4 linked regions of the Pelodiscus sinensis genome follow. The protein of the gene in region 3 interacts with the protein of the main gene of each other region in a pairwise test. Links are inferred from orthologs where the notes say so. Each region holds a gene or a part of one and is shown on either strand. Other genes may lie near its edges. The genes, in order: TSPO, FAM3C, CREB3L1 and SLC61A1.

Region 1 (7,829 bases), on a different chromosome or scaffold from region 3:
CAGCCTGGTGCTAGGCCACATACTGCTGCTGGCAGTTCCTGGCATCTATTACAGGGATATTCTTAACCATAGTGCTACAGTGCCTTAGGACGCCAGTCAGGATGGGGGACTCACTGCAATGAAACGCAGGTGACCAAATTGAGCACTGTCTCTCAACTGCCAACAAGATGGTGGGACCTGTGGACGTGATGGCTTTGTCTTTCGGGACCAATCACACTGGCAAATGGGGGCCCCTAAATGTGCAGGCCCTGGAACAGTCTCCCCAATTTGCCCTACCCAAGAGACAGCTCTGGCTGAGCTTGGCTTAACCTGAGAGTAGATGCCCTTGATAATGGGGGATGCTAAGAGAAGTGAGTTATTCAGAGCATGTCTCTTCCCACCAGCATTGCCTCAGTTAGGCCTGAGTGCTGTTCTTCATCCAATGTATCTCAACTCAGAGGGGAGCATTGCTCTTTATACCTCTTGCAGGGGAAAAAACAAGAGAAGAGCTGTGTGGTGTCTCTGTTCTGTTGTCAGTTCAGTCCACATTGTCTCACTGGCTTCTCCAATGCTGAATAAGATGGAAGGGAAGACTGAGATTTCACATAATGGGATTGCATAGAGGAAGGTGCTGGCGGTAAAGTAACTTTTTTCCCGTAATGACTCTTTGGTCTCTGAAGGTCCAGCTGTATTGTTTGCTATTCTGGTTCATTTTCACTCCAGTGAGTTAAATGACCCAATTCCTTTTATTAAATGGCTCCATGAAATGTGACTCACTGTTTGATGTTGTTTCAGAACACCAAAGTAACGCCCACTGATTACACAAGTGCAAATGCAGACTTTTATACTTTTTTCTTATAATCTTCAGTTAGGGATCACTTAACTAAAGTCTGTTTCACTTTAGCCTTTCATGAATTTACTCTATTTCATTACATAGTGTCACAGAAAAGAGCAAAAACAAGCATATTCTTTTCCCCCTCTTACTAACAGGTAGAATAAGCTTGCAATAAATATAGCCAGTTGTGAGATTTATTGACGGGTAAATGCTACTAGTTTAAAATCATACTCAAAACTATCTCGACCTCACTGGGGAAAAAAAGTAAATATTGACCACATGAAATTCTGGATGTGAGGATAAAGTTCAAGGCCCCTATGAAGCCAAATGAGATACAACTGGGCCAAGAAGGAACAGGAGTAAATGCTATTAGTTTTGTTAAATGTGTAATAGTTCACTAGCTAGGGTCTGGCTCATTGCCGCTGAATGAATGGACCCAAACTGCACAGGGGTTCTACAATGGTAGAGCAGCTTTAAATTACTATGGGGTTTAGCACTAAAGGCTGGTTTAGTAAATCTTTTGGCTATTTGCCTGTTTGACACCTCCCACTAACTGTGCTTCATGGGTCAGCTCCAGGTATCATGGGCATTTAGACTGGAATAAATACACTTGTGGAGATACTTTGCTACAGTCCAAATTCCACCAGCAGAAGCCTGTATTACATAAGGAAAGGTTACTAAGCACTATTTCCCATTCTTTCCTAGAGTCAGCGAGCCTTCCCAAATGTTTTCTTTCTGTGTTCACATAAACGTGGGAGAAAAGGAAACAACTTTCTTTAACATTTTAACTGCAAAATGTCAAATGCTAGTGACAAATCGCAAGCCCCCTATAAATTAACTACTGATCTATCTGCAACTTTATTAGCATACACCGTACAGTATAGCATTTTGTATTAATAATAATAAAGTGCCTCTTAAATGATACTGTGTGTTTTACAGATGAACTAACCGAGGTTAAGACTGGACCGAGGCTAGGAATCCCACTCCTTGGCTCTTTCACTATGGCTGTGTCCAGACTCAGGGGTTTTTTCAAAAAAGTAGCCTTTTTTTGAAAAAAACCTCACCTGCGTCTAGACTACAGCCGCGTTCTTTCGAAATTAAATCGAAAGAACGTGGCTTTTCTTTCGACGGCGGTAAACCTCATTTCACGAGGAAGAACGCCTTCTTTCGAAAGTTCCTCTTTCGAAAGAAGGCGTTCTTGAATGTAAATAGGGCTTCTTCGAAAGAGAGCATCCAGACTCACTGGGTGCTTTCTTTCAAAAAAGCAAGCCACTTTTTCGAAAGTTCCACGTGCAGTCTAGACGCTCTCTTTCGAAAGAGGCTTGCAGTCTAGACATAGCCTATCAGGCACTGCATGACAGGGCTGTTCCTGCAGTCCCAACGCTGCCTGGCAATGTGTGGCACTACAAAACACCGCCTCCCGGTTGCTATTTCCGAGCACTCGGTGTGGCACCCAGGGGCTAACCCCCTCGTGCTATTCCCAATGTCTCCTCGGCCACGAGATGTGGTGGAGAAAGTGCTCCTCCGCCCCTGCTGCTAGATCCAGGCCCATAGAGTGACACCGCTGACTCTCCCTGCTTCCTCCTGGCGCAACTGTGGTTTCTGAGAGACCCGCCGTTCCCCTTGGAAACTAGCAGTTCCCTCCTCCCGCCGCCTTAATAGGGAATCGCTGGAGAGTCTCAAGCAGAAGCTCGTGCCCGGGGAAGGCAGGGGGAGACTCACTCACCTGCTGCAGCCCGGAGTTCGGCAAGGAGCAGAGCAGAGGACAGGCCGAGGGCGCTGCTCTATGGACCCAGCAGGGGTGCGGCTTGAGCGCGCGTGTCCCTCCTACGCGCGTCGGAGCGGCGGGAGCTGGAGCAGCAGGGCAACCGGGGGCGGAGCTGGCTGCACCCTCTGCCTCGTGTGCTTGGGGGGGAGCGGGGCGCGGCCCTGCACAGCTCCAGCGCGCACGGGGGGGGGAGGGTTAGGGAGCGTCTTAGACTCACAATTTGTGTTGTTTGGCTCCAGTCTGTCCCGCTGCAGGAGGAGGCGGCGGCGTTTGCAGCGACCCTGGCTGAGTGCGCGGAGATTTCACGCGCAGATCCCGAGCCCCTTCTGTTCACACTGTCGCGGGCAAAAGGGCGCTCGCTCAAAGTGGCAGCAGCTCCTGGGCAGTTCCAGACCTCGTTCTTCCCTTCCTGCAGTGCGTGTTCCGGGCGGCGGAGGCGTGGTGGGTTAAAAAAATAAAAGGAAGAATTCCTGTTTTAAAAATGAAAGTGAAAATAATAAGCCCCATGTTTGACTTTTAATAAGAGGCTTGATTTTGATGCAAAGGGGTCTAAGCCACGCTCGGCTGCCTACAGTCACGATTTCTGCTGGGTCTGGGTGGGAGGTTAGACAGCAAGTGCTCTAAGCTTACACTAAAAATGGGGGGAAGGGGAGTAATATCGTGCACCTCTATTTGGAGGAGCAATTGAACTCATCACAGGGCTGCCTTTGCTTCAGTCTAGAGCAGAAAAATGCTTCTTCCCACTGAAGCAGCGCAGACTGCAGTGGTTAGGGGGACAGGTTTGTATAATTCTTGGTGAGGTCCAGAATGGGCCAGGAGTGAGGGAGGGCTGAGAATGACGGGTTTGGGGTCTGGGAGGGGCTCAAGCCTTGAGCAGAGGGTTGGGGCCAAGGGGGTAAGGGCTCTGGGATGGGGATGAGACAGGAATGAGGAGCTCAAACTTTGAAGTCCAGGAGGCAGGCTGCCCTGGGGCTGAAGCCAGAGAGGGCAGATCCTCCTCCCCCTCCTGGCACTCACTCAAACCTCAGAAGAAGTCCACTCTGAGTCACCTGCGGGGGTGGGGGGTGCATGCCCCTACTCCCCCTTTTCTCTGCAAATGCAGCAGTCAGCCTGTCATTGCTGGCCCCATTCCTTACAGCCAACCAGGCTGCAGCAGCTGGTGAGGGAGTGCAGGGGGCCCAGGAGCAGCTGCCTGCTGCCCAGGGCACAGATCAAGTGAGGGTTGGGGAGGCATGCGGGGGGCTATTTGGTGGAGCTAAGGGACATGCAAAGAGAGGCCCACAGGGGTGACAGATGGGGCCAGGGAAGAGATCTGGCCCTGATATTGGTGGAGTCCAGCAGAGTTGTTCCATCCATAGAATAGTTTGGGGGCAGCCACTCCAGGCTCTGCACTTTGGGGGGCCCTGCAGCAGCTGCCTCAGCCATCCTATGGACCATGAGACAGTCCCCCATCTCATCCGTGGTGGGCCCAGGGTGGCTTAGAAGAGTATTGGGGGTCTGACATGCAGTGACAGCAGGGGTCTGGGCCTCCCTGCGCTCACCATGGCAGTAGGAGCTGAAGTGACCCCACAACCTACTTCATCCCACCGCCATCTCCCAGCCTGCTACCCTCTGCTTCACCATGGCAGCAGGAGGCGGGCATCCTGGCCTCGCTCCACTGCATGATGTAGGGTTAGGGGGAGCGGACTGGGACCATGGAGTTCCACTTCCCGCTGCTGTGGTGAGTATGGAAGGAGGCTAACCCCTGCTGCCACCCTGCACCTGGTAACCCTCCAGCTCAGGTTGCATAGGGGAGGGATGCAGTGAAGGCAAAGGCTGGTAGGGTTGCCAGGTGTCTGGTTTTGAACCGGACAGTCCAGTATTTGAGCTTTCTATTTGGGAAACAAACTGAAAAAATATAAATGACAAAATAAAAATGTCCCATATTTTCTAAATAACATTGTAATGTAAATTGTGATGTAATGTCAAGTGCGTCCAGTATTTTTGTTGAAACCATCTGGCAAACCTAAAGGCTGTGCAGGGATGGAGTAGGGGCAGGCTTGGGGGGGAGGGAAGTGAAATGGGGTGGGGCATAGGGCAGGGTGGTAGCCCTGGGTCCCTCTAGGGACAGCCCTAGAGCCTGGGCAATAGGGGCCCCCAGATGGTTATAAGACTTCTTCTATCTGCTGTACTTGTAATTGTTACTTGTAACATTTGTGAAACTTTACACGTGCTCTTATATGTTCGACACCCAACACGAAAATCTCCATTAATCTCCTGATAATTAATTGAGTCGGCTTGCCAACTTTCACACACTGTGAATAAGTGTCCAACTTTCACAATAAGTGAAAAATCAAGCCAATCCCATTTCAAAACAAAGCCAACATAAACCAGACCCTAAAAGAACCCCTACATTCTATGGCTAAGTCTATACTGCACCTGGTCTTGCGCAAAAGCCTATGCAAATGAAGTGCAGATTAGCATATCACTATGCTTCATTTGCATAATTAATTAGGGGTCATTTTTGCCCAAAAAGGAGCTGTGTAGATGGCTCCTTTTTGCGCAAAAACCACCTCTTGTGCAAGACCCTGGGTGTGTCTATGTAAATACAATTTGCTCCTGCTTTGCTTAGGTGTTAGATATTAGGAATGTAATTAAAAAAAACACTATGTAATCAACTAAAATTCAGTCGGTTACACAGTGAGCTCCTGGAACCAGAGGATGCCCATGTCTGCTGGCCCCGCATGCTGCTGGCGCTTGCCAGACCTGCGGGCTCCTGTTGGTGGCCAGGAGTTTAACTGGTTAAACTCTAACATCCCTATTAGATATTCAGCAGATAGAATGGTATTTTACTCATTGTACTCAATTTAATTCGTGACTCACTACCAGCTATGTTTGTATTAAATGCAGGGACAGCTGAAATATGGTGACCAATGTTTGTAATTTTGTGGGAATACAGAAAAGTAGATCTGTGCTAAATTGTCCCAAACTAAAGGGGACATACACTTAGGGTACGTCTAGACTACAAGCCTCTTTCGAAAGACAGCGTCTAGACTGCAACCTCTTCTTTCGAAAAAGTGAGCCGCTTTTTTGAAAGAGAGCACCCAGGCAGTCTGGCTGCTCTCTTTCAAAAAAGCCCTGTTTGCATTCAACAATGCCTTTTTTCGAAAGAGCACTTTCGAAAAAAGGCGTTCTTCCTCGTGAAATGAGGAGTACCACTGTTGAAAGAAAAGCCACATTCTTTTGATTTAATTTCAAAAGAACACAGCTGTAGTCTAGACGCAGGTGAAGTTTTTCAAAAAAAGGCAACTTTTTTTGAAAAAACCCTGCAGTCTAGACACAGCCTTAGTGAAAGAGTCTTCAAATGCAGGGGCACGGGGAATGGGACGCAAAGAATGGGAGGGGCAGAGGGATCGTGGTCTAGGGGCAGTGCAGGAAATGGGCAGCACAGAGCTGGGGGGCAGGGATCGGGGGGAGCAGTGTGTGGGGTGTAAGGTCGGCACAGAGCCAAAGAGTCACAGGGAAGAGGGAGAGCAGGAGGTCCAGGGTGCAGGGGAACAGGCGATGTGGAGACAAAGGGGGTCTGGGGCCGTGGCAGGACTGGAGTCGGTGGGGCGGGCCCTGGCTGTGCCGCGCGCCGCAGCCAGCTCCCAGAGACACGCGGCCAGAGCTGAGCTGCCGCAGCCCTTTAAAATCAGCAGGGACAGGTCACGCCAGCGTCCTAGCATCCTGCCCCACCTTCTCGTGCCGGAGCTGCATGCAGGTAGCCCAGTGGGAAGAATCTCCACACTTCCCCCTTCCCAGCAGCACTGTGCTCCTCCGCCGGCCAGCGGATCGGATGGGGCCGCGCCGCCTGTAGTGCAGGCTTCGGCCAGCCCGCCCCTGCACTTGCCAGCTGGTAAAATCTACTTGCCACGGGCGAGCAGGTGAGTGCATTCGTCAAGCCCTGGTGATTGAGACCCAATAGGGAAGATGCAAAGAGTGGCCAGTAGAATGATAGCACCACAAGGAGCAGTTAGCAGGGTGGTGACTGAAAGTTTCAATGAGCAGCTAGCAGGGTGATGACAGATAGGTGGTGAGATGAATGACCATCAAGGTTGTGATAGAGAGCAGTGAGCAGGTGGATGGTGAGTGACCAGCGGAGTGAACAAGATACTTCTTTACTTCCCCCCACTTGGGATGGGAGCTGAACTCGGTGAATGCACCTCTGAACTCTAGGTCTGCACTGACCAAGGGTAGTAACTGTGAGTGGGGTGCAAAGAAGGGTTGGACATGTGAAGGGGACATTTAGATTGCTGGACTTAAGAACCTGAGAGGAAAAGGACACTGCCCGATCTACTTTGAGCGGGACTGTTACTCATGGTTTTGTTTATTAATTGTTTGTGGTGATTTTCCCAAGTTAATGCCAAATTACTTCCCTCCTTTTATTAAGTTTCTTTTCTACACTTGGACTCTGTGCTTGCGAGTGGGGAAGTATTGCCTCTTAGAAGAGTACAGGAGTGGTGTGTGAATTTCCCATGTTACTTGGTGGGACCTCAAGCCAGTTCTATGTTGGCTGGATGAAGAAGAACCCTATATTGAACCTGGCCCTGGCTGCTGATGGCTCTGCTGGTGTGGAAGCAGGCTCTTTGCTGGCCGGGCCTCTCGCGCGTATTGCCATCCAAGCAAAAGGTCAACTTCCCCTTGATGAAAAACCCTTACACTATGTAACTTAAAGATCAGCGACGAACAGGAACCAAAACCAGACCCAAAAGTTCACGTAAAGTTCGTGCTGGTTGTGCTGACCGTGCCATGCCTGATAAGGCAGAAAAGGAAAAACAGAGGAAACCATCTCACCCCCTTACTCCTGTCACTTAACAGACAGGGTCTGCTAGCCTATCACAAAAAGCACACAAAAGCTCTCTCTATAAAACAGCTTCCCCTCCTGTATCAAATTGAGGAATCCCGAATAAACATTGGATGGCAGAATATGAGCCAGGTCCGAGGACTGATCACCCGAGGGCCACCTCCCGCTCACCGAACCAAACAAGTTCCTGTAGAGCGTAACGTATACCAAACATAACGAATACCAAATATGTTGTTGTTGTTGTAGTTTGTGTGTCTGTTAAATGTAAGTATTGTTATCTGAAATTGTTTAGCGGTATTATTAAGTAGTAGTGTTAAAACTTTTAGATACATAATTAGTCTTATAAATAACACTGATGTAAATGTAACTGTTAATAATCCCTGGTCCCTTGTTAACAACTATTGGGATTTAGAAAAACCTCA
Region 2 (7,574 bases), on a different chromosome or scaffold from region 3:
AGGAGAGGGTAGGCTCACTGGTCAGTGAGGAGGGAGAAACAGTAACAGGAAACTTGGAAATGGCAGAGATGCTCAATGAAAGGAAGGGGCCAGATGGAAACCAAAAAGCTTTTATTGTCAAAAACTTTGATCCAACTATGAGCTTTGTTTTCTTGCACGTTGGGGGAACAGTGGGTGCTGGTAAATAAAAATTTCCAGTTAACTAAGAGGATGGGAGTTCGGGTGTGGGAGGAGGCTCAGGACTGAGGATTGGGTTGCAAAAAGGTTTGGGGGTGCTGGATTCAGACAGCAATCTCCTGCAGTGGCTCCCTGGAAATGGTGACAAGTCCTGCTGCTCCTAAGTAGAGACATGGCTAGGCTGCTGTGTGTGTTGCCTTTGCCCATATTCACTGCCCCTGCAGCTCCCATTGGCTGCAGTTCCTGGGCAATAGTTCCACCAAGAAATAGTAGAGATTAGGGATGTGAAGGTTTAACCAGATGAACTGGAGCAGTACCAGCCCTGTGAACGGCCTGCCATGAACAGGAGCTGCTCCAGCACAGCTCCTGCCTCTGGCAGGCCTGGCAGGCATTGGCTGTTCTGGCTGGGACTCTGGAGCAGCCCCTGCCTGTGGGTCACCGGGGCCCACCACGGGGAGGGGCTGCTCCGACATCCCATGAAGCAGACTCTGTCCATAGTGGGCCCAGGCACCCTACAGGTAGGGGCTGTTCTGATTGTGATTCTGAAGCAATCCCTGCCAGTGGGGCACCCTGGCCTGCGCAGGCAAGGGCTGCTCTGGTATCCTGGCTGGTGCAACCCCTGCCTGCAGGGGGGCAGGGAAGGGGCAGTTGCATGCAGGAGCAACTCTGGCTGGGTTGGAGCAGCCTCAGCCTATGGCAGAGGGTATGGGGCATTCCTGTAATCCTTGATTTCCCCCCCCCACACACACACACAGTTCAATTGATTAACCAATTAAATGGGATTTTACATCCTCAGTAAAGAGATGTTGCTGCTTCTGGGAAGTAGGGATGTAAAATCTCATTTAGCCGATTAACGGGGGCACCCAGGCTCTGGACACTGGAGCAGCTCCTTCCTGCAGGCGCCCAGTTCCATCACGGATAGAGGCTGCTCTCGGTCCCAAGACAGACAGGACTTTACGCTATCTAGTAGCAGATAGGTATTATAGTGACAGATGCCAAAACAAGATTATCTATATTTACCTTTCTACTTCACAATCACAGATGTAGAAAAACTGAAGAACAAAGAGTTTAGGTCATTTAGACCCAGCTCCTGCAACGAGATCTGTAAGGATATACCAACTGTGAATTGGTTCCTTAGAGCATACCCCTACCAATGCAAGTTTGGTCCCTCCAGTAATGTCTTCAGTGTTTGTTGAATGTCAGGTTAACCATATATAACTATTCCACTGATGATTTCCATGATCAGTTACAGAATGTTTAATACAATGCTACTTTTTCTTCTTTACCTTAGTATTTCCTCCTTTCCAAGAGCACAAGGGTGTGTCTATATTAGAAAGCAGTTAACAGTGCTGTGCCCTTAGTGTGAACACAATTATATTAATATAATGGCACTTTATGTTGGTTTTTGCTATTCCCATACAAGAAAAGAAATAACTATAGTAGTATGATATATTTGTATAACTGCTTCCACAATAGGACTTTTATCAAAGTGACACTGGTTAAAAAAAAGTTAACCCACTAATAGACATAGTTATACTGGTAAAATTAAGTCTTTAAGGGTAACTAAAGCTTTTCACTGTTAGATAATTGAGCGCATCAGACTACAAAGTTATATATGAAGAAAGTTGAGCTGAGAAGAAAAATAATTATGCTTACTTATGTATCTAGGATAAAACGTTAGAAATCCATTTCTATAAATGACAGCACCAAGATGTGAAGAGATAAGCAAAGATACACAATTCGAAACTGAAACTGAAGGGCTAATTATACTTTTTAAGTAGTTTTGTACAAACAACAGCTGCCAGCAAGTAAGGTGAAAATCAGAAAAGCTCATTTCAGTTTACAGCTATAAATACTTAAGACCTAAATCAATGTAAGCATACCCAGTCAAAAGTTACCAGGCATTTGCACACTGTAGATCTTTATCTCCTCTGTAAAGAATTCATCCACAGCTCTAGTTTGAGAGGCATCCAGCTCTTCACACCTGAACTACTTTCTACAATACTTCACCTCTAATGCAGTGGCTTAGAGCCAGCACTGAAACGCTCATTTCCATCCTGTCCCGACTTTTGGTTCTATGCAAGCTTAAAGTTTACAGTCACGTTTAGCCTCTTGGATTCTCCCCCCTCCCCACGATGCGGGTGGGGAGATACAGACCTGGTGCAGAATAGCCCAATTTTTTCCCTTTCAGGTACGTGTATTTTTCTGGCAGCTGCCCCAAGGAGGAAACGAGGGAAGCCGCACAAAGCGCACACAACCCCAGGAGAGGGTCAAAACAGGAATGGTCCGGGGCTGGCGGCTGGAGACTCTAGAAGGGCGGTTTGTGCTGCTGGCCGGAGAGGCAGCCAAGGGGGCAGGAGAAGAGCCGCTGGCTCGGCCACGAAACGCGCGCGAGGAGAGCTCTGCGGGCGGCAGGGGAAGGGAGGCGGCGGTGCAGGGAAGCTCGGGGCTCCCGGCGGGAGGAGCGGAGACCTCAGAGCGCCGGGGTGAGCGAAGGGCGGGGCGCGGGGCACAGCCTGGCCAGGCGCTCCGGGGCACGGGGCCGGGACACGCCGCTGCGCAGCGTCCCTGAGCCGGGTGTGCGACGCGGCGGCGGGGGCCCAGCCCGGAAGGCCCGAGCTGGAGAGAGCCGGGAGCCCCTTACCTGCGCCTCCGCTCCGGCTGCCCGCCCGGCCCCTGCGGACGCGGCTTGACGAGAGCTCAGAGGGCGGCGGTGGAGCAGGAAGCCCAGCGGTTCTGCCGCTGCGGCCGCACGGGCGGGAGGTGCTCGTCCGCCCCCTAGCGCTGGCGGACCCGGGCCGGAGTCTGTGCTAGCGCCGGCCGCCTCCGCTCCACGGCCTGCTCGGGGCCCTCCCCCCGCAGCTCCTGCCCGATCCCCTCCATTGCCCGCCCCGCCCCTCGCCCACCTAGGGTTGCCAGATGGTTTCAATGAAAATACCGGACACACGTGATAAAAATGTGTAGACCAAGAAAAAAAAAAAAAAAAAAAAACCAACCCCCACGATATGGGGAGTTTATTGCTGACAATCCACATTACATGGTATATTTTACATTAGTGCGCAGCTTTTATCCATTTTTTATTTTTCAAAAACTTCATTTTCTGCATTGCTCATTATGGATATCAAGATCCTAAACAAAATTAGAAAATTCTGAATGTAAGGCGGCCAGCCTTTTTTGATAAAGCTGCTCATTGTTCCTTACCTTAAAAGAGACAGGAGGAAGATGAAAGCTAGACAAAGGGCAACACTGTCACGAATCGTATGTTTATAAAAGGAAAATATTCAGCACTACTACGTAGTTGCATACTGCCTGGCTGGTAGACATGCTCACACTGCGTGAGTGTGTCTACCAGCCAGGCAGTACGCAACTATGTGCTGATACCCATATCCAAGCGGTGAATCAGCATAGTAGCCCATAGCGCGGTCCTAGAGTGTGAGCGAGAATACTCGCGCACAAGCCATATCATAACATGATAATAATAATACTTAATTAGATCTCCTCCATTGCCCACTCCGTCCCCACTGCCCCTTCTCTACACACCGCCCCTCGCCCCCATCACCAGCACCCCCTCTCTTGCACCCCCATCACCAACACTGCCCCTAACAGTCCTTCCTCTGCACATCGACCCCACTCCCTCCTCACACCCCCTAGCCCACACACTGACACCCCTTCCATTGCACACTCCTTCACTGAAGCCCTTCCCAGCACATCATCACCCCCTCCATGAACAACCCCTCCCCCACATGTCAACACTTCCTCCCCATAACCTGTTTCCCACACACCAACATCCCACTCCTCTCCCCACCGCCCCTTCCCCATATACCCAACACTTCCTCCGTTGTACACTCCCCACCACATCTCCTCTCTTGTCCACTCCTTTCCCCACCATTCCTTCCCTGTACACTGACACCTCTTCCATTGCACACCCATTCCCTGAAGCCTCTCCCCTGCACATCATCACTCCTTCTATGCACAACTGCTCCTGGCAACCCTTCCCCATACACCAACTGCTCCTCTCCGGAACTCCTTGCCCAGACACCAACACCCCTCCATCGCCCACTCCTCCCCACAGCCTCAGCCCCATACACCCAACACTTCCCCCATTGCACACCCTCCTCCTCACAATCCCTCCCTCATCACCAATACTCCCTCCCTTGTCCACTCCTCTCCCTTCAGCCCCTCCACCACACACTGACATCCACTTCCCACAACCCTTCCCACCTACACCAGTATCTCATCCCCCACAGCCCTTCCCCCACACATCAACACTCCCTCCCACAGCGCTGCATCTCTTCCAGCTCCCCAACCTCCCTGCCACTGGGTCCTTTCCCACCACACCAGTGCCCTGCTAAAGCACCCCTCCCCACAGACCTTCCCATGGACAATGACACCACAACCAGCAGGCCTCTTCCCCCTCATACTGACATCCCCTCCACAGGGCCAGATCAACTTTTTGTGGGCCCCCATATAGTTGTTATGGGCCCTTTGGTGTGTGAGCTCCACATGATGGCACCACAGTAAACCTGGTACTGCTAGGATGGGGACAAAAACATTTATTCAAAACCAAAATAGTATGAACCCACACTTGGTTGAGACCTCTTCCTAGCCCAATGGCGGGCAATAATTTTTGCCTGGGGGGCCACTTTTTTAAGTAGCCCCGGGTCACCCCAGAAGGGATGGGGCCTAAATAGGAAAGGGCAGGGCTACCCCACCCTCAGACCATGATTGGTCTGGGGGTGGGGGAGCCCCTTTGCCCCCCGCTTCCCACTAGACACTCATGTCCTGGAAGAGACTTGGCACGCTCCCCCACCCTCTGGCCAATCAGTGCCTGGGGGCAGAGGAGCATGGGAAGCCTCCTCCCACCCTGAAAGGCAAATGTGGCACTCTGAAGTGCCGCGGACTACTCGCAGGGCTGGGGTAGAGTGAAGGAAGCTTCACGCAGCTCCCCCACCCCCAGGCTCTGATTGGCCTGGGGGCTGAGGAGTGCGTGAAGCCTCCTCCACTCTCCCCCCACCCGCGAGCAGTGCGTGGCACTTCTAAGCGCCACGCACTACTCACAGGGTAGGAAGAGGCTTCGCGTGCTCCCGCACCCCCAGCCAAGTAAGCCAGGGCAGGGGCAGTGCAAAGAAGGCTTCAGGCACTCCCCCGCCCCAGGTCCTAATTGGCTTGGGGACGGGGGGAGCAGCAGGGCCTCCGTGGGCCGGATCCACTTGCTTTGTGGGCTGGATCTGGCCCGCAGAGGCCTTTTTGCCCACCCCTGTCCTAGCCTATAGAGAATAAACTAGGCTAGCATCAATATACCCAGAATACTCCTGAATGTGACTTATTTGGGATCAGGTTGTTAGTTTTTTCTTTTTTCTTAAAATAAGGCCTGCTTGGGTCCCTGAACATAATTAGTGCATTTGTGAGCCATTTATGGAGTGGAATCACACCTGCAACTCCCCACCACCACTTCCTACATGCAAAGTTATGCCTCATACATCCATTTTTGAAAGCGTATTTTCTACTTTGGTACAATCATGTTTATAAAAGTTTCCTTAGCCTGTTTTTTTACCTCACCATCCTTCATGACTAAGGTCCACCCACTTCAATGGCAATGAAAAACATGTCATGAACTTTGAAATAAGTCCTTCTCTGTGAAATCTGATCTCCCCATGTGGCTGGAAGCGCCCCAGCCAGGAGCTCCTAACTGCTAGTCTGCTCTTGGTGGAGAGATCTTACCACCTCCAGAGGCAGCGCAGAAGTGCACATCCTCACTTCTGCACTGCAGCAGCCTCGGAGTTGGGCTCAGGGCTGCAGATGCCTGAGCTTGGGTGCCACTGCTGTAGTTGCAGCAAGGGCTTAAGAGTGCTCGGGCTCAGGGCTTCTGCCTCTGGTGGCTTCTGTCTCTGGGCACCCAGACTCAGGACTTCTGCTGCATGGCTGCAGCTGGGGCTTAAGGCATCCAGGCATTGGTGGTGGGTATTGTAGGCAGGGGGAGGCTGTGCCTCCCCAAGCAGTCTACTGTGACCCCATCTTCACTCTGTCCGAGGCCAGGCCCTCTTGCTGTTCCCAAGAGGCTGGCTAGCATACCTCCCGTGGCAACTTTGAGCAGCTAGGACTGCGCTTGTCTAGGGTTGGCTGCCTAAACACTAGGACTGACAATGCTGCCAGGCCACCTAAGCACTGGAATGGGGAGCAAAGCCACCACACTGCCTGGCTGCCTGGAGCCCCAAGCACTGGGGCTGAGTGCACTGAGGCTGTAATATATTGGAGATGGGGCCTCAACCCCTAGGCTATGTCTAGACTGCAGGCTTCTTTCGAAAGAGGCTCTTTCGAAAGCATCTTTCGAAAGAGCCTCTTTCGAAAGATCGCGTCTAGACTGCAGGCGGATCTTTTGAAAGAGAAATCCGCTTTTTCGAAAGAGAGCACCCAGCGAGTCTGGATGCTCTCTTTCGAAGACGGCCTCTTTATATTGAAGAACGCCTTCTTTCGAAAGAGGAACTTTCGAAAGAAGGCGTTCTTCCTCGTGAAATGAGGTTTACCGCCATCGAAAGAAAAGCCGCGTTCTTTCGAAATAATTTCGAAAGAACGCGGCTTGAGTCTGGACGCAGGGGAAGTTTTTTCGGGAAAAGGCTACTTTTCCCGAAAAAACCCCTGAGTCTGGACACGGCCCTAATGCCCAGCTATTTGGCACTGGAAACATGCGGGGTGCTTTTCACTCCATGGGGGAAAGAGATAAAAGGAGAGAATGGGGTGAAGAAGGAGAGAACCCCTGCCCCCTCAGGGTACGTCTAGACTACAGGCTTTTGTCGACAGAGGCTCTGTCAACAAAGAGCATCTAGACTACATCCAGTTCTGTCAACAAAGCAAGCCACTTTTTTGACAGAGAGTCTAGACGCTCTCTTTTGAAAAAGCACAGTGTGGATGCAATAGCACCTTTTGTTGACAAAAGGCATTATTCCTCGAAGAATGAGGTTTACCGCCGTCGACAAAACAGCCGCATTCTGTCGACTTACTGTTGACAGAACTCAGTGGTAATGTAGACGCAGGTATAGTTTTGTTGACAAAACCCTGTAGTCTAGACACACCTCACACAGATACAATTACTCCAGGACCGCTCCCCTGGACACCAACACCCTTGCCCTACTGCCTCTCACCCTCAATATGCACATGTAGCTCTACAGCTGCTGCAAGAATCATAAAATGGAACCTGATTTCTGTTTATTTAAATTCTCAAACAGTGATGGGAAGTATTAGTATTTGATTTAGAGCAGTGGTCTCCAACCTTTTTACACCCAAGATCACTTTTTAAATGACAGAGCAAGCCAAGATCTACAGCCCCGCCCCCTCTATTCTCCTCCTCTCCATCACTTGCTATCCCCAAGCCTTATACTGCTGCTTTTAAAAAAAAATTC
Region 3 (7,749 bases):
CTGAAAACTGTAGGTACTGGGGGATACTTATAATTTTTTTGAAGGGGTACTTTATTAAAAAAGGTTGAGAAACACTGATATACAGCACTGTCCCCAGGGGAATATGAGCTTAGAACATTTATGTTTTAGAAAAAAAGTGTAAATACAAAGCAGGATCTTTGAGCTGACAGACTTTTTCTCCTGAGACATTTTTAATCTCTAGGATGGAGAAGTCCCTGTTTGAATGTGCTGAAGTGTTTTTCCTTTGCAATTCAGACAAACAAGTCACGTTTACTTTGCTTGACCTTTTCTGATGACACGCCTACCTGGTGAATACAAACAGTAGCTCTGCCTCATACATGCACCCCGCCTGTATGAAAAGGGTGATTCTGAAAGGAGATTTCCTTAAACTAACTTAGGTGAAAAACTGGATCAGAGAGGCTTTATGCAATTCAGAGTAATTTGGTTTTAAAAATCATGGTGTGAAGTTTAGTGCTTATAAAAGTAACATGAGGGTTTGGTTAGTGAGGGCAGGAACAGTGCAAGCTTCCCCTATAATAGCTCTACCAGTGCACCTCAGTCTTGACACTAGCACTGCTGTTTCAGCCCTCAGTTCTGCTACTACCACCATCCCCAGTTTCACTGATACACGTTACCCATGAACAACCCTAATCCTTAGGGAGAAGGGCAGGGGAAAGAGCCCTCTTCCTAGGGCTTGTAAACATTATGGAGAAGATTAACCCTCCAGAGGTCGATCTTCTAGTGTTCAGTTTAGTGGATCTAGTGTAGACCACCCAATCAAATGCTGAGGGCAGCCCCCACCAGCATCCTGTGCTCCTCATTCTGAGAGGAGTAAGGGAAGCCTGGACAGGAGTGTGTGAGCCCATTGGCCTCCTGCAGTTTATCATAGAATCATAGAATACAAGGACTGGAAGGGACTTCGAGAGGTCATCGAGTCCAGTCCCCTGCTCCCATGGCAGGACCAAATACTGTCTAGACCAGTGGTCCCCAACCTTTTTAGGTTGTCGGGCGCCAGGGGGCGTGGCCGTTTGCCCGCCGGGCGCCAGGGGGCGGGGACCGGGGGCGCCCCCCCATCCACGCGCCCGGGGGCGGGGCCCCACCTACCGCGCGCCCGGGGGCGGGGTCCCCCCATAGCTGCATGCCCGGGGGCAGGGCCCCCTCTAAGGGTCGCGCGCCCGGGGCCGGCGCTCCCCGCCACCCCCACCCTCCCGCCGAGTCCCGCGCGCCCGAGGCCAGCGCTCCTTCCCCCCCCCCCGCCGAGTGCTGCGCACCCGAGGCCGCCGCTCCTGCTCCTCCCCCCCCCCGCCAAGTGCCGCGCGCCCGAGGCCGGCGCTCCTGCTCCCCCCCCCCCCGCCGAGTGCCGCGCGCCCGGGACCGGCATTCCCCCCCCTCCTGCCGAGTGCCGCGCGCCCGGGACCGGCGTTCCCCCCCCTCCTGCCGAGTGCCGCGCGCCCGGGACTGGCGCTCCCCCCGCCGCGCGCCCGGGGCCGGCGCTCCCCCCGCCGCCTCCCGCCGAGTGCCGCGCGCCCGGCGCTCCCCCCGCAAGCGCCCATGCGCCATGTGCCCGGGGCCAGGCCAGCCCCGAGCACCTGGCGGGCGCATTGAAATGCCCCCGCGGGCGCCATGGCGCCCGCGGGCACCGTGTTGGGGACCACTGGTCTAGACCATCCCTGAGAGACATTTATCTAACCTACTCTTAAATATCTCCACAGATGGGGATTCCACAACCTCCCTGGGCAATTTATTCCAGTGTTTGACTACCCTGACAGTTAGGAACTTTTTCCTAATGTCCAACCTAAACCTCCCTTGCTGCAGTTTAAGCCCATTGCTTTTTGTTCTATCCTCAGAGGCCAAGATGAACAAATTTTCTCCCTCCTCCTTATGACACCCTTTTAGACACTTGAAAACGGCTATCCTGTCCCCCCTCAATCTTCTCTATTCTAAACTAAACAAACCCAAATCTTTCAGCCTTCCTTCATAGGTCATGTTCTCTAGACCTTTAATCATTCTTGTTGCTCTTTAATCATTCTTGTTTAGATGCTGCAGTGGCTCAGCTTAAGGTAAGCCGAATCCAGCTATGCATTTTGCTGGTCTAGTGTAGTCCAGTGTGCTTGTCGCTGGACTACTCATTCTTTTAGGCAGCACCAGAAGTGATGAGGAAATAAATGTCAGTCTTCTGAGAGCAAATGGGTGCCCTGGGAAGAAGGTCAGAGAAGCCCTAAGGAAACTCATACCACTGCAAGAGGAGAATAGATATTTCCAGCTTCCTTGGGAAGGATCGAGTGGAGCCCTTTTCTCCTAGCTTTTGAACCACATGAGCAGACCTCTAAAACCATCAAGAAGGGACTCTTTCACCAGACAAAGTGTAATGTAGCCATACTGCCCATGTGTAGCCCTGTGTCCCCACATTAGAGAGCTGGATCTGAGGTGGCTCTGTTACCAGAGACTATGGACGGGGAGTGTAAGGTTTTTGTTCTGTTTTGTTTTGTTCTGTTTCCATTGTCTCCTTGTAGTGGTTATGAAGTACGCACTGTGGACATTGCAAGTTTCTTCCTTTTTTCCTGTGTTAAACAATTAGTCCCAAATACCTTCTTGTTTTTGTTCTTGATGTAAGTGACAAGCTGAAAGTCTTCTGGAATCCTAGCCCAATTCTCTGCTCACTATTTGTGTCTATGATTTTCATTTACATTAAGGCCACTTTACTCCTCATGGGCAGCAGAAAGGGATTGGGAAAGTGAGAGCAAATGTAATTTAAAGTGGCTATAAGCCCTGGTTCTCGCTCACACTATGGAGCATGTCTACACTGGGGAGTTATTTCAAGATAACTCCCCTTATTTCAAAATAACAAGGCGAGCATCCACGCTACCAACCCTGTCATTTTGAAATAATGGGCTTGTTATTTCAAAATAATAACTCCTGCTTGTGAAAAGGAATAAGCATATTTTGAAACAGTTATTTCAGGAGTTATTATTTCGAAATAACTTATTTTGAAATAACCTAGTAGTGTAGACATAGGCTATATGTGCAGAGAATTTGCACATGGGGACTAGTGTGAGGGACATTCTCTGGTCTTTAGGATTTAGGATTAGCCCTGAGACCTGGTGGAATCAAGAAAAGAGTGTGACTATGAACCTTCAGTTGTTGATGGCATCTCAAAGTCTGACACAAACGCAAGTGTCCCCAAAGCGCCTGTCTCCTACTGGTCAATTTCATCATTTTAAATTATTCTTGTAGTTGGAAGTTGGCAGCCAAGTGTCCTTTGGGAGAAATGCACCTTCATTCTCTCTGAAGAATTGGTTCCCCAGACATAGATGAAGGATTCTTTGGGCTACACTGGCTGAGCCATGAGGGTAGGGATTGAGGGATACCAGAACTGCTTCAACAGGATTATTCTAAGAGGTTTTCCTAAGTGTTCATCAGAGTGAATATCAGAGGGGATAGGGATTTATAATCCTGTTTATTTGAAGACATATAATCTTCCTGAAGCTCTTAAATGGTGCCTGAATCTTTAATTACAGAGCTGCAAGATGGGATGCTGCTAACAGGCCCCCCTGCACTGACTTTTGCTGAGGGTAATTGGCAATAAGTAGTCACATGAACATTAAGCTGACGCTAGGCTTGGCTATCTTAGGATAAAATATTGGCAGATGTTTAACAGTGAACTTGCTTTGGCAGTCAGTAAATGTGGCCACCCCTGTTCTAAGGTAATGAAAGGAATACCTAGGGCAGGGCTACTCAACACGTGGCCCATGAGCTGCATGTGGCCCACGGTCCATTTGTTTGCAGCCCATGATGTGGTTTGGGTTTACGTGGTGCTCAACATGTGGCCTGCGGGTGGGAGCCAAAGCAAAAAAATAATCAATATAGTGGTTTTCCGTTGATATGCATTTTAGCATTTAAATTCCTGGACTGTCATTGCTCATTAAAAGTGCTGTCACATGGGTGGAAATCTGGTAAATATTGCGTTTTATTAATATCAGCAGAACCAACTTAAATGGGGCCTGTGTGTTGTGTAGTCTTGCCTTAATCTTTGTATTCATGCCCATCAGTGTGAAAGAAGCTATTTGTATATATATGTGCATGTATATGCAACCACACTTAAGTTGCGGCCCTTGGCATGTTCTGTGAGTATTATTGTGGCCCCCGGGGCTTCCAAAGTTGAGTAGCCCTGACCTAGGGTGTTGGAAATACACTACTGGCTCAGAAGAGTGCCACCTAGTGTATCATCCCCATAATAGTGGTAGGGAACCTTGTGCTGTAGCAATTGGTATCCCTCAGTAGGAGATGCTCTCTGGGAGTACAGAGCCCAGTGCCCTAATGTGGTGCTGCAGAAGTTGTCCTTGTCAGAGTCATTGGGATGTCCAGGAGAAGTTCTAGATTGTGCTGGGGACACACATTAGCACTGGGCCCTGCAAAGGCGGAGCAGTCAGCCGTGGCCTGGCTGCCACTCTTGCATGCAATGGTCTTTCACAGCTTTCTCCCTCTTACATCTCCCCACAATGGCTTCTGTCTGTGTTGTCCCCCAGGCTGTCTGGGGCCTGATAGCTGCTCAGATCCTCCACGAGCCCAGTTCCCTGCCCTGGCTCTGGGTAGGATGCGCCCACTGTCCCTAGCTCTGTGCTGTCAGTGTGAGAGCAAGGGAGGAGCAGGGCATTGCACCAGAGCTTCCTTAAGAGGCTGATCAAGGAGGGGAGTGCTGCCTCGCAGAACCTTTAATATTCATGAGCTAGGGGGCGTGATGTCCAGGCCGGCCAGGCGGCTGAGCCTGGGGATCCTCGGCGGAGTGTGAAAGTGACAGCTGGGCAGAGGGGAGTCCCGGCGGAGTGCACCGCCCCGCCTTCCTCCTGCACGGCTCCAGGAGGCAGCCCGGGCCCCTGCCCGCGCCCGGGGGGTTCGGATCTGCCCAGCCCCAGGCGTGGCACCTTTGCCCCCCTGTCCCGTCCTCAGCCGTCGGGGGACCCCCAGCAGCCCCCGCCTCTCCGGGGAGCCCCTGTGCCCCCGCGCCCTATGGATTGCCGCCGTCCCTTGGGAGGAGGAGCCATGTGCAGTCGGTGCCCGGGGCCCTGCCATCGGCTGCACCGGGCGGCGCGGGAGTAACTCCGAGCCTGGCGGGTCTGCGGAGGGAGCGAGGACGCCCCGGCTCCGGCCCGCCGCGCTGGCGGGAGGGCGGCTCTGCGCCGCACCTAACCCCGGCACCATGGACAGTATCCTGGAGCCCTTCCCCTCCGAGCGCCTCTTCCCCGGAGGCGGCTCCGGCTTCCTGGACCTGGGCGACCTGAACGAAGCGGATTTCCTCAGCAATGTGGTAAGGGCGCCGGCCGGCGGTGGGCGGGGGCTGCCTGGGCTCGTCCTGCTTGTCCTGGGCTCCCCGCCAAACGGCTCCTACTCGTGCCGGGAGCCTGGGCAGCGCAGCGCCCCTTTTCCTGCACCTGGCTGCAGTCCTGAGCGCCCCCTGGGCCTCAAAGCTCAGCCAGCTCAAGTCCTCTGGAGCTCCCCCCCCCCCCACACACACACAACTCCTGGCACCTCCTCTAGGGGATCGGTCGTCTCAGCCCCTCTAGTAAGATCCATGCCATTGTTTTTGAAACCGTGTCTAATAGGGATCCCGCAGCAGGTCCTGGGGTGTAATTCCGTGGCATAATTAACTCATCCCACTCTAACTGCACTGGAGAGTGGAGACCCTAAAGCTGTGGGGGCAGCCCTTCTGCTGCTATTTCCCTTGCTTACCTGCTTTTTGTAAAATGACCTGGGGGTGAAACATCTGTTGCTTGGCTAACACAGTAGCGATTTACTTTAGGGGGAGGACGAGTGAACTAGGACTAGATCTATTTAGTGTGTCAAAAGAGAGTATTTGTCTTTAAGAAGATTGTCCAGACTTTGTGTACTCATGTCATGTAACTCACATGTACAGTAGTTCCATAGGAGGTCGTTATCCCAGATGAGGAATTCAAACTTTGTTGTTTGTGAGCAAATGTAGCTTTGGATTATCTGGGGTTATCGTCCCAGTAAAAGATAAAACAGTGACACAGAATCTGGTTTGTTCTAAGTGTAACATGTTTTATTTACATGTACACCAGTCCTGGAACAGAGATGGTCACAAACAGCATGGAAGTAATACCTCCTTTCAGGCCTCTCCATGGCCTGTCTCAAGAATTGACTCCAGTTAGAGACAAAGGATATGTCAACATCATGGAGGGACTGCAGCACATGTACACATGCCTAAATTACCTTTGATCTAGCTAACTCAATCAATATCAGTGAATTCCAGCAGCAAGGGACCCTGATGATATATTGGAGTGACTAACCTGTACTGCAGCAAGTCTTCTATAAGTTATTTGAGCTAAATAGAGCACATCTAGCCTACTGTTTATGAGTGGAGACGGCATACCTCTAATTGCAGTGTAGACATACCCTTAGGTTGAGAGTAAATTCTTCTTCTGCTTACACAGCTCATTCTACCTAGAATCTTTGCATGCCAAAACTAACCCACGCACAGCAGGTCTTCTCAAGACAGAACATTTGTTCTCAACCTAAGACCTGGTCTGCATACATTTGAAAGTTTTACTTGTGTAATTATTTTAATTAGGAGTGGGATCTCTGCCGCCCCCTCAGTAATACTGGTAAAAGCCTTTGGATGGGATGAAGTTATTCTAATATAAAAGTCCCTTGCAGCAAATTAGCTTATTTTTATATAAGAATAATATAAATCATTATATGTATTTTTATGCCACTATATCTGGAGCCGCATTAGGGGAGTTGTATAACTTAACTATATCAAATAGACTATACCTACTGCCTCATCCAGTGATACCCACCATGACATGATATTTACAAATGTGTACTGACCATATGCATTGTGTTAATTTCCTGACTGATTAAATTCCATCTCTGTTCTGGCAGTGACTGTAAAACTGACCTGAGGAGTCATCCATTTTCATTATTTCTCAGTGACTCTAGATTTATTATGCTCAATTGACAAGTAAAAACTTTTTTTTCCATTTACACCACAGACTACCCTGGGGATCTGAGACTCTTTGTTCTTGTGCAGGATCAACAATAAAGATTCTGTAATCTTAGTGCAGATAACAAATCTGTTGATGATACCAAAGCCAGAATGTACTGGAATCTAATTCACCCTTTGTGTAGTGGATCTGCAGGGAAAACTGCCATAAAAAGGAGCAAAGATTAACTTTAGGAAATCCATCAAATCTTAATGGGACGGGATCTGTTGATTAAGAAGATCTCATTTTTACATAGTTGCTTTTCAGAGTATTGTACTTAACATCAAAGCACTAGGGTTGCATGGTAATCCTTAAAACTGTCAATGATTTTTCTTTGGAGGGAGAGATGAGGTTCAATATGGAGACTCTTCATGTAATGCTCAGCAAATGTAGTTCCCTCTAAAGAAGTTGAGTGAGCATTGAGTTCACTAAGAACCCTTTCCTGCAACAGTAACCTTCTTTAGTTAATCATCTTGTCACTTAAGCAGTAGTTTATAAAATCTAAGTCTGTTACAAGATGAAATAATTGGATCATAGGTCTAAGGTGCATCTTGGAATTAATAAATTAATGTGTTTGAAAAGGGATGTTTGAAAGAGAACAGTGTTATTTGTCAGAGGATGACTGATATCTAGTTTAAAAAGCATAAACATGGCTGGGTCTAATCAGTGCTTGGATGGGTACACACAAGGGAAAAGGTGTCCATGGAAAATGTTCCTTTTGTTCACTGAGATGAGCATATTACTAATG
Region 4 (7,802 bases), on a different chromosome or scaffold from region 3:
AGACAAAGCCACAGATGGTACAGTTAGTTTCATGATCTTTGATACTTCTTCACTGTGAATGGATGCAAAGTTTTGGGTACCCACAGACTGTTGGCCAGAGTAGCTAATGCATGGAACCAATGCCAGGAAAAAAATCATATCCTGTTTTCCTAGCCTTAGGTCATATGGGAAGATAATAGCCTCAGTGAAAAGAAAAAAAAATCATGTGATCTGCTCTGTGATATTTGTAGCTCTGTGGTTGGGTTCCTGAAAGAATGATCCAGTAGGTCAGTGGTTCCCAAACTTTTTGGCATCACGCCCCCTTTTTGATTTGAGAAACCCTCACCCCCCACCCCAAATAGCAGCACAACTTGTTGAGGGGAAAAAAAACCCCCACGAACTGACCGGGGCCAAAAAACAAAAATAGCAGCAAAACTTAGGGGGAAGATTCACCGGTGGGGGGGGGGGGGGGGGGGGGAGTGCGGGCGGTCACCTCGCACCCCCCCACACACCGGAATTTCCTCAAGTCCCCCCAGGGGGCACACACCCCAGTTTGGGAACCCATGCAGTAGGGGCACTTGAATTGGAGATTTTTAACTTCCCACTTGGCATGTTTTAACAGGAAAAACTACAAAAAGGCACTACCAGTTTTAAAGCCAACCCTCACACCCAGATTACCATGGAGTGGCTTCCTTTAGGTCTCTTAGAAGTGACAAGATTGCCAGAAAGTGCCTGGAGTGCTCTCTTCCATTAATCTGGGTATAGCATTGATAATGCCACCCCTCACACCTGTGTCTTCCTTCACCTCATTCTAAATCATGCTTCAAAAGCTCTTACTGGGTTTCTTTGTAGCTCTTTAAAAGGCAGAGATCTTGTTGTTTGTAAAGCAATGGTGAAAAATACTAGACTGAAAACTGAGGTAAACATTCAGTTTAGTCAGAGGAAGAGCAGCACAGCTAGCATCACCTGTGTTGCCCTGCCCACATGCCTCCAACCTACCCTGAAGAGATTCTTCTGATCAGAGTGACAGAGCAGGTTAGCCTGCATACTCCATTCTCTGTTCAGCCTATGGGCTGAGAATGGCAACCTGTGATGAGGACGTCTGTGTTCTGGTCCGAGAACTGGAGCCTGGCAAATTTGTGGATATCTGCGGCTCGTTTTTGCAGATACAGATGTGAATACAAAGTGTGTATGTGCACAGGGCTCTACTGAGAGAACCTCTTGCAAACTCGTGCAGGAGATCCAAGCTTTCCTCTGACCAGCACTCTCCCACTGGAGCTCAAAGATAAAATAGAGGACAAACCAAATGTGAAAGAGCCTGAGATTGCTAGGGGGCCAGTGTATCCAATAAGATTCTAGTGGAATCATCATCACGTTGATTCCTGTCCCCTGGAGAAACACACTAGAATAGAAACACATTCTGCTGAAAACATGGTCTAAGTGGCAAGTGAAGCCCTGTTAATGGCAGAAAATATTTCATCACAAGAGAGCACTGTACATATTGGGCTTGGTAAGGGAGATGATGAATCACCTCCACATCTCTCCAGACCCCCTTGGGAAAAGGCAAACCTGAGCGGGGGAACCAGATGAATTATGGGCTCAGCTCCCACTGGCAGGCAGCTCCACCTTGCTCAGACACACCACACACAGGCCTCTCATAGCATGTCTTTCCCATTCCAACCCTCCACTCACAGCTACACAGGCTTCCCCCACCCCCCACAAGGGCTTGCCTCAGACCCTCCCCAACTCATTCTGCATCCTAACAAGAAGCACCCCCTAGCTCTGCTCTCTCCAAGTACACCACTCCCCCAAAGCCTGAGCCTCCCTCGCCCCTGAAAACTCCCACTTGAACCCCCCCTCTCAACCCTCACTGCTCCCTAAGCCCCCTCTTGCTTCCCCTCCCCCACCAGCCTCCCACTCCTCCTAGAGCCTCTCCTTCCCCAGAACCCCCAAATGATTCAAGAGCCTCCCCTCTTCCAGTCTGCACCTGCCCCCACCCCTCCCGCACAGCCTCCACCAGCTCCCCCCTCACTGCCTCCCCCAGTCCCCAAACCCCACCACCGCTCCCCTCCCCCCATGGCCTCCCCCAGTCCCCAAACACCCCCCACGGCCTCCACCCCCCCAGCTCCCCTCCCCCCATGGCCTCCCCCAGTCCCCAAACACCCCCCCACGGCCTCCACCCCCCCAGCTCCCCTCCCCCCATGGCCTCCCCCAGTCCCCAAACACCCCCCCACGGCCTCCACCCCCCCAGCTCCCCTCCCCCCACGGCCTCCCCCAGTCCCCAAACATCCCCCCACGGCCTCCACCCCCCCAGCTCCCCTCCCCCCATGGCCTCCCCCAGTCCCCAAACACCCCCCCACGGCCTCCACCCCCCCAGCTCCCCTCCCCCCATGGCCTCCCCCAGTCCCCAAACACCCCCCCACGGCCTCCACCCCCCCAGCTCCCCTCCCCCCACGGCCTCCCCCAGTCCCCAAACACCCCCCCACGGCCTCCACCCCCCCAGCTCCCCTCCCCCCACGGCCTCCCCCAGTCCCCAAACATCCCCCCACGGCCTCCACCCCCCCAGCTCCCCTCCCCCCACGGCCTCCCCCAGTCCCCAAACACCCCCCCACGGCCTCCACCCCCCCAGCTCCCCTCCCCCCACGGCCTCCCCCAGTCCCCAAACCCGCCCACCCCCAACTCCTCTCCCTCCCCCCCACGGCCCCCACCCCCCGCAAGGCTCCTCACCTGCTCCGCTCGCTCGGGAGGGGAGGGGGGGTCGCTCGCCCGCGTTACACACACGCGCCCCGGCCCGAGCGATCCGCTTCCGGGACACCTCGCCGGCCTCCGTTGGAAGTAGCCCAGGGCGCCGCCATGTTTTGGGGTCACGTGACGGGGGGAAACTGCCTTGGGTCCGCGCCTGCTGCGTCCGCCGGACTCCGGCTCTGAGACTCCGCCCCCTCCCACCCGGCCGTTGGGCACGTGACGCGAGGCCCGCAGTGACACAGACAGCACGTGCCCAGGGCCCCCACTGAAGTGTGGTTGCATCTGCATGCAAATATATATGCAAATATATGCAAATACCTTCTCTCACACACTGACCCAGTGCTCCTTCCTGGGGGGCTGGACACCCTGGACCCGCCTGTAGCCAGCCCGGCGCTTGGCCTGACGGCGCTCAGCCCGCCGGGGAGCCCATGCTCCAAGGGTCCCGCCCGCGGGCTGCGTGTGCACCCAGACCGACCGCGGCCCGGAGCCCTGGGCCAGACCCTCCCTGGCAGGTGCATCCGACCTGCCCTTAAATGTCCCCAGCGACGAGATGCCACAGCCCCCTCCGCTACGTAGGCCAGTGTTTAACCCCGACAGGCAGGACTTTCTCCTAATGTCCAGCCTCAACCTCCCTTGCTGCAGTTTAAGCCCCTTCCTCCTTGTTCTGTCCTCAGAGGCCAAGGAGAACAATTCCCCGGATCCCTTGTGACACCATTTAAAATACCTGAAAACCTCTATCACCTCCCCTCAGTCTTCTCCTTTCCAAACGACACAAGCCCAATTCTTCCCCCCTGCCCCCAGGTCATGTTCTCTAGACCTTTAATCATTCTTGTTGCTCCTCTCTGGATCATCTCCAATTTCTCCACAGATTTCTTGAAATGTGGTGCCCAGAACTGGACACAATACTCCAACTGAGGCCTAATCAGTGCAGAGTAGAGCGGAAGAATGACTTCTCATGTCCCGCTCACAACACTTCTCTTTCCCAGAAGTGTTTGCTTTTTTTTGTTGCAATAGTGTCATGCTGTTGACTCATATTTAACTTGTGCTCCACTATGACCCCTAGATCTGTTTCTGCCAGGACTGCTTCCTAAACAATGATTTCACATTTTGTATGGGAGAAACTGATTGTTTGCGCCCTAAGTGGAGCACTTTCCATTTGTCCTTAACGAACTTATCTTATTTATCTCAGACCATTTCTCCAGTTGGTGCAGATCATTTTGAATTATAGCCCTATCCTCCTTGAAAAATGAAAATTGTCATAGATTCTCATGACTTCAGGAGGTGGGGTTTGCACAGCACCCAGTGCAAGGGGAAGCTGGTCTTGGTGAAGGGTGCCCCTGGAATTGCAACAATACCAACATGTGGACACTTCACTCAATGTTAAGCAAATCTTTATTTTAATTATTGCACTTCAATATTAGACCAAAAATAAACCGTTTCTTTTCTTCCACTGCTAGGCACTAGGGCTTTTAGCAGCCATGCCCCTGGAGGGCATCCCTTTGCTGATATGCTCCAAGTTGGGATAGGGGGTAGTTTATTTTCTGTACATTTATATTTTTCAGAAAAGTGCAAAGTTTTGCTGCTCTTTTAAAAACACAAACAAAAAACAAACAAAAAACAGAGCCACACGGCCAGGAGCTGAAGCACAGCCCGGCTCCCCCTCTCCCTGCAAATGTTCTGAGCTTGGCAAAGACCCAAACACAAACCACAAAGTGCTCCCTTCTGATGTGCTAGTTCTCCCTCCTCAGGGGCCATTAGGATTTGATATGTATTGAAATGCAAAGCTAGGGAGCTTTGGGCCCCATGTTCGGTTGCTGGATTTGTCTTCACCTTACAGTGGTCTAATGTGCCACCTGCCCCGCACAGTTCGAGCCATTCTCTTCGGCAGTGGGAGAGTAGTCTAAATGGCTGGGGCAATGAGATTCAGAATGTGGTTCTGGGAGGGGAATGGGGTCTAGTGGTTAGGCCATGGGTGGGGAAGGGAAGCCAGGGTCTATTGGTTAGAGCAAGGCAGAGCTGAATGGGAGCAAAGGAAAATGGAGCCAGTGCTTTCTTTAATGGAACTGGCTGGTGGTTAGCGCATGCATGGTGAATTCTATTCCAGGCTCCGGGAGGGAAATCATGGGTCACATGGCTTGGCAGGAAGGAATGTACAAAGCGATGCTGCCCAAGGGGGATGTGCGTGGGCAGGGAAAAGAAGCAGGCGGGTTTCATCAACCTCTCCTGAGGGCTGAATTAATCCTTTATGAAATAGCCAAGGTGGAGACATCCCTGGGGCCCCAACGGGGGGGGGGGGGGGGGGGGAGGAAGGAAGGTGTCAATTAAAACCTTTCTCCTATGACAGTCTAGATCCCCTGCTTGCACTCGAGATCTGCCTCCTTCAGCCTCTCCCCTCTGAGAGACTGTCCCCTAGCTGAGCCATCACTAGTCAGCCTTTGCCAAAAGCTCCCTGGAAGCCCTGATGGCGTGAGACATTTTATAAAAACACCAGACAAGACAAACCACACAGCAAAGGGCGGAGGTGGGGAGAGACGTGCCCCTGCCCCTCCCCAGCAGGTGGAAATGGGCCAGACAAGTGCTTCTGCAGATAATTTCCTGGTCCAGTCTATCCTATGCTGTTCACAGAGCAAAGCTCCACAAGCCACCTGGGATGTTTTCTCCATAGGAGAGGGCTGGTGGTGTGGAGGGAGGGTGGCAACAGAGGGGAATGGGATAAATGAGCATGCACCCTAAGAAGGAACTAGGTCCTCAACTCAAACACAAGTGGGGTGAGCCGTTCCCCGAGAGCTACCTATGCGCTGTATGTACATGTCCAGGCTCCTTATATACAGACTAGACCCTCAGAACGACACAGAGCGTTCTCTACACGTACACGTAACTACACTGTGTCAGTGCGGTCGGTTCGGATGCATGTTTGCTACGGTCTCCGGGCCTGGCTGTGCGGCAGAGAGCGCCGTGTGGGAGGTGTGCTCTCTCCTCCTCAACCCAATCACCCCAGACTGGGGGGGTGTGCTGGCAGAGCCCAGCTCCGACAGGCCACGTGCTGCCCGTCAGCACCAGAGCCCTCTTTCCTCATCTTCAAAAGAAACACAGCCCGAGGTGCTGGGTCTGGCGATTGTTCTTGATCCTTTTCCCCCTAGGCTCAGAGGGTGGGCATCTCCGGTGGGTTTAAGGATCAATCCGGAAGGCCAGGAGCTTCTCCGAGTGCTGGTTGTTGAGGGTTCGCAAATCAGGAAGGCGCAGGAGGAGTTTGGGGAAGAGAGTGGAGTCATCAGGGTGCTTCTTTGTCACCAGAGTCCGCAGGGCCCGGATGAGGGTCTCCTGAAGGATTTCCACGGCATCCACGTCTGAGATGCCGGAGCGATCTATGAACCAGATGAGCCATGACATTAATATCCAATCTGCTCCCCCAAAAAATCAACTGGTCCCCACTGCAGGGGAATCTCCCTCTGTGACAGCATCTGACACACACAGCAGCTCATAAACAGCAAGGAGATGCTTCCTAATGCCCAGATCTCAGCCTGGGGTACAGTCTCCAGAAAGAAGGGATGAGATGTTTAAAGCCAGGTTGGACAAAGTGTTTAGCTGGTGCCCAGTTAGGTCTTTCCCCACCTCTAACATGGAAAGGGCAATGACCCTCCAGTTGAAATACTAGGAGGACGCTGTCCTGTACAGCTCGGTCAGTCCTGTTCCCTGGCGAATCTGGAAGGCCCAGGCAGGGTAAGCTCCATGTGCATCCGCTTTCTGCATGCACCGGGGCGTGGGACCCCAGAGGGGCACTGGGGACTGCCAGTCCGTCATTGTCTTTCCACAGGCGCCAAACCTAGTGAACAACAGGACACACGGCCTGAGGCACCAGGGAGGAGCTTTGCAGGGGGATCGTCACTGACTTCACCTGCCTGGCTGGCCGCTCAGAGATCCCCCCGCTGGCCCGAGGGCTCGCACCCACCTGCTGAGACCAGGACGACGGCCATGAAGAGCGCCATTTCCTGGGCATCCAGCCCCAAGGAGCTGAGCTTCTCGCTGAACTCGAACATGGCGTCCAGCAGGCAGCCCATGCCCATGGTGCGCAGGCTGCAGAGCGAGTAGGTCTCGCCGCTCAGGAACGTCACCACCTTCTCCTTGGGGTTGAAGAGGGAGGAGAACCGCACCATCAGCACCTGCAGGAAGAGGATCAGAGCTGAGCCTGCAGCTCTAGTGGCCAGGCAGAGTACAGGGTTTAGAGTCTGGGGGTGCCAAGGGTCCTCAATTGTGTTACATAATTCTAAGCCAGGTTGCCTGGGGACTGGATTCAATAAGCCAGGAAGCTCTTCCCATCCCGTTGCTATGACTGGATCGCTCAGCTCAGGCAATGACAATCATAAAGTACCTAGCCCTTACCTCAGGGCACGTCAGGATCATTATCCCCATCTGACAGATAGGGAAACTGAGGCACCAAGCAGGGAAAAGCAGCTTGTCCTAAGCCCCAGTTCAACGTTCTAGCCACTGGATCTTTAGATGCATTCAGTCTCCTGACCCTGATCTGGAGTCACTTTCTCCCTCTTGGGGTTCCTATGGGAGTTGAGGGGCCTGGGTGGAAAATTAAATAGCCCCAGAACAAGGGTAATTCAAGTCAGTGGCGCGGGTCTGATGAACCTTCTCTACAGGTGCTGTCAGGCTACCAGGTTTCCCACATGTGACAGAATCTGTGCCTGGCATGTCATGGCCACTTAAACAGCAGGAGCACAATTCATCTGAATCCTCCTGTTGCAAAAGCCCAGAGCTAGAGGGGAATCTCCCATGGCTGTTAGCAGTATGGAGGCTATGACACACAGTACACTAGTTCTGATTCCATACCGCAAGGGGTGCACACACAGAAAACCAGGGCTCGCTCCTTCCAGAAGAGGGCAGTGGAGACACACACACACACACACACACACACACAGATTCACAGATTTCAGGGCCAGAAGGGATGGTTGTGATCATCTAGGGCAGTGCTTCCCAAACTTTTTGGCATCATGCCCCCCTTTTGATTTTTGAAAAACCCTCACGCCCCCTTCCCCCCCCCACAAAAGAAATAGCAGCAAAACTTGTTGAGG

The links.
Region 1: the proteins of CREB3L1 (region 3) and TSPO interact in binary tests that used the Homo sapiens proteins (3 or more experiments, as listed by UniProt). The two-hybrid records come from large-scale screens. The link is inferred for Pelodiscus sinensis from reciprocal best matches to the Homo sapiens genes CREB3L1 and TSPO.
Region 2: the proteins of CREB3L1 (region 3) and FAM3C interact in binary tests that used the Homo sapiens proteins (3 or more experiments, as listed by UniProt). The two-hybrid records come from large-scale screens. The link is inferred for Pelodiscus sinensis from reciprocal best matches to the Homo sapiens genes CREB3L1 and FAM3C.
Region 4: the proteins of CREB3L1 (region 3) and SLC61A1 interact in binary tests that used the Homo sapiens proteins (3 or more experiments, as listed by UniProt). The two-hybrid records come from large-scale screens. The link is inferred for Pelodiscus sinensis from reciprocal best matches to the Homo sapiens genes CREB3L1 and SLC61A1.

The regions. Positions count from the first base shown.
Region 1 is NC_134711.1:120,824,484-120,832,312, reverse strand, and holds the start of TSPO (translocator protein), read right to left. Parts: upstream 3,009-7,829; 5' UTR 2,800-3,008; intron 2,700-2,799; exon of another isoform or gene 2,541-2,699; intron 1-2,540. UniProt on the Homo sapiens protein: Can bind protoporphyrin IX and may play a role in the transport of porphyrins and heme. Promotes the transport of cholesterol across mitochondrial membranes and may play a role in lipid metabolism, but its precise physiological role is controversial.
Region 2 is NC_134711.1:42,371,139-42,378,712, reverse strand, and holds the start of FAM3C (protein FAM3C), read right to left. Parts: upstream 3,015-7,574; 5' UTR 2,822-3,014; intron 2,765-2,821; exon of another isoform or gene 2,335-2,764; intron 1-2,334. UniProt on the Homo sapiens protein: May be involved in retinal laminar formation. Promotes epithelial to mesenchymal transition.
Region 3 is NC_134714.1:83,758,620-83,766,368, forward strand, and holds the start of CREB3L1 (cyclic AMP-responsive element-binding protein 3-like protein 1), read left to right. Parts: upstream 1-4,737; 5' UTR 4,738-5,197; coding exon 5,198-5,305; intron 5,306-7,749.
Region 4 is NW_027465863.1:45,924-53,725, forward strand, and holds the start of SLC61A1 (molybdate-anion transporter), read right to left. Parts: upstream 3,017-7,802; 5' UTR 2,707-3,016; intron 1-2,706. Other genes in the region: nuclear receptor subfamily 1 group D member 1-like, read right to left, coding at 5,893-6,089, 6,674-6,884. UniProt on the Homo sapiens protein: Mediates high-affinity intracellular uptake of the rare oligo-element molybdenum.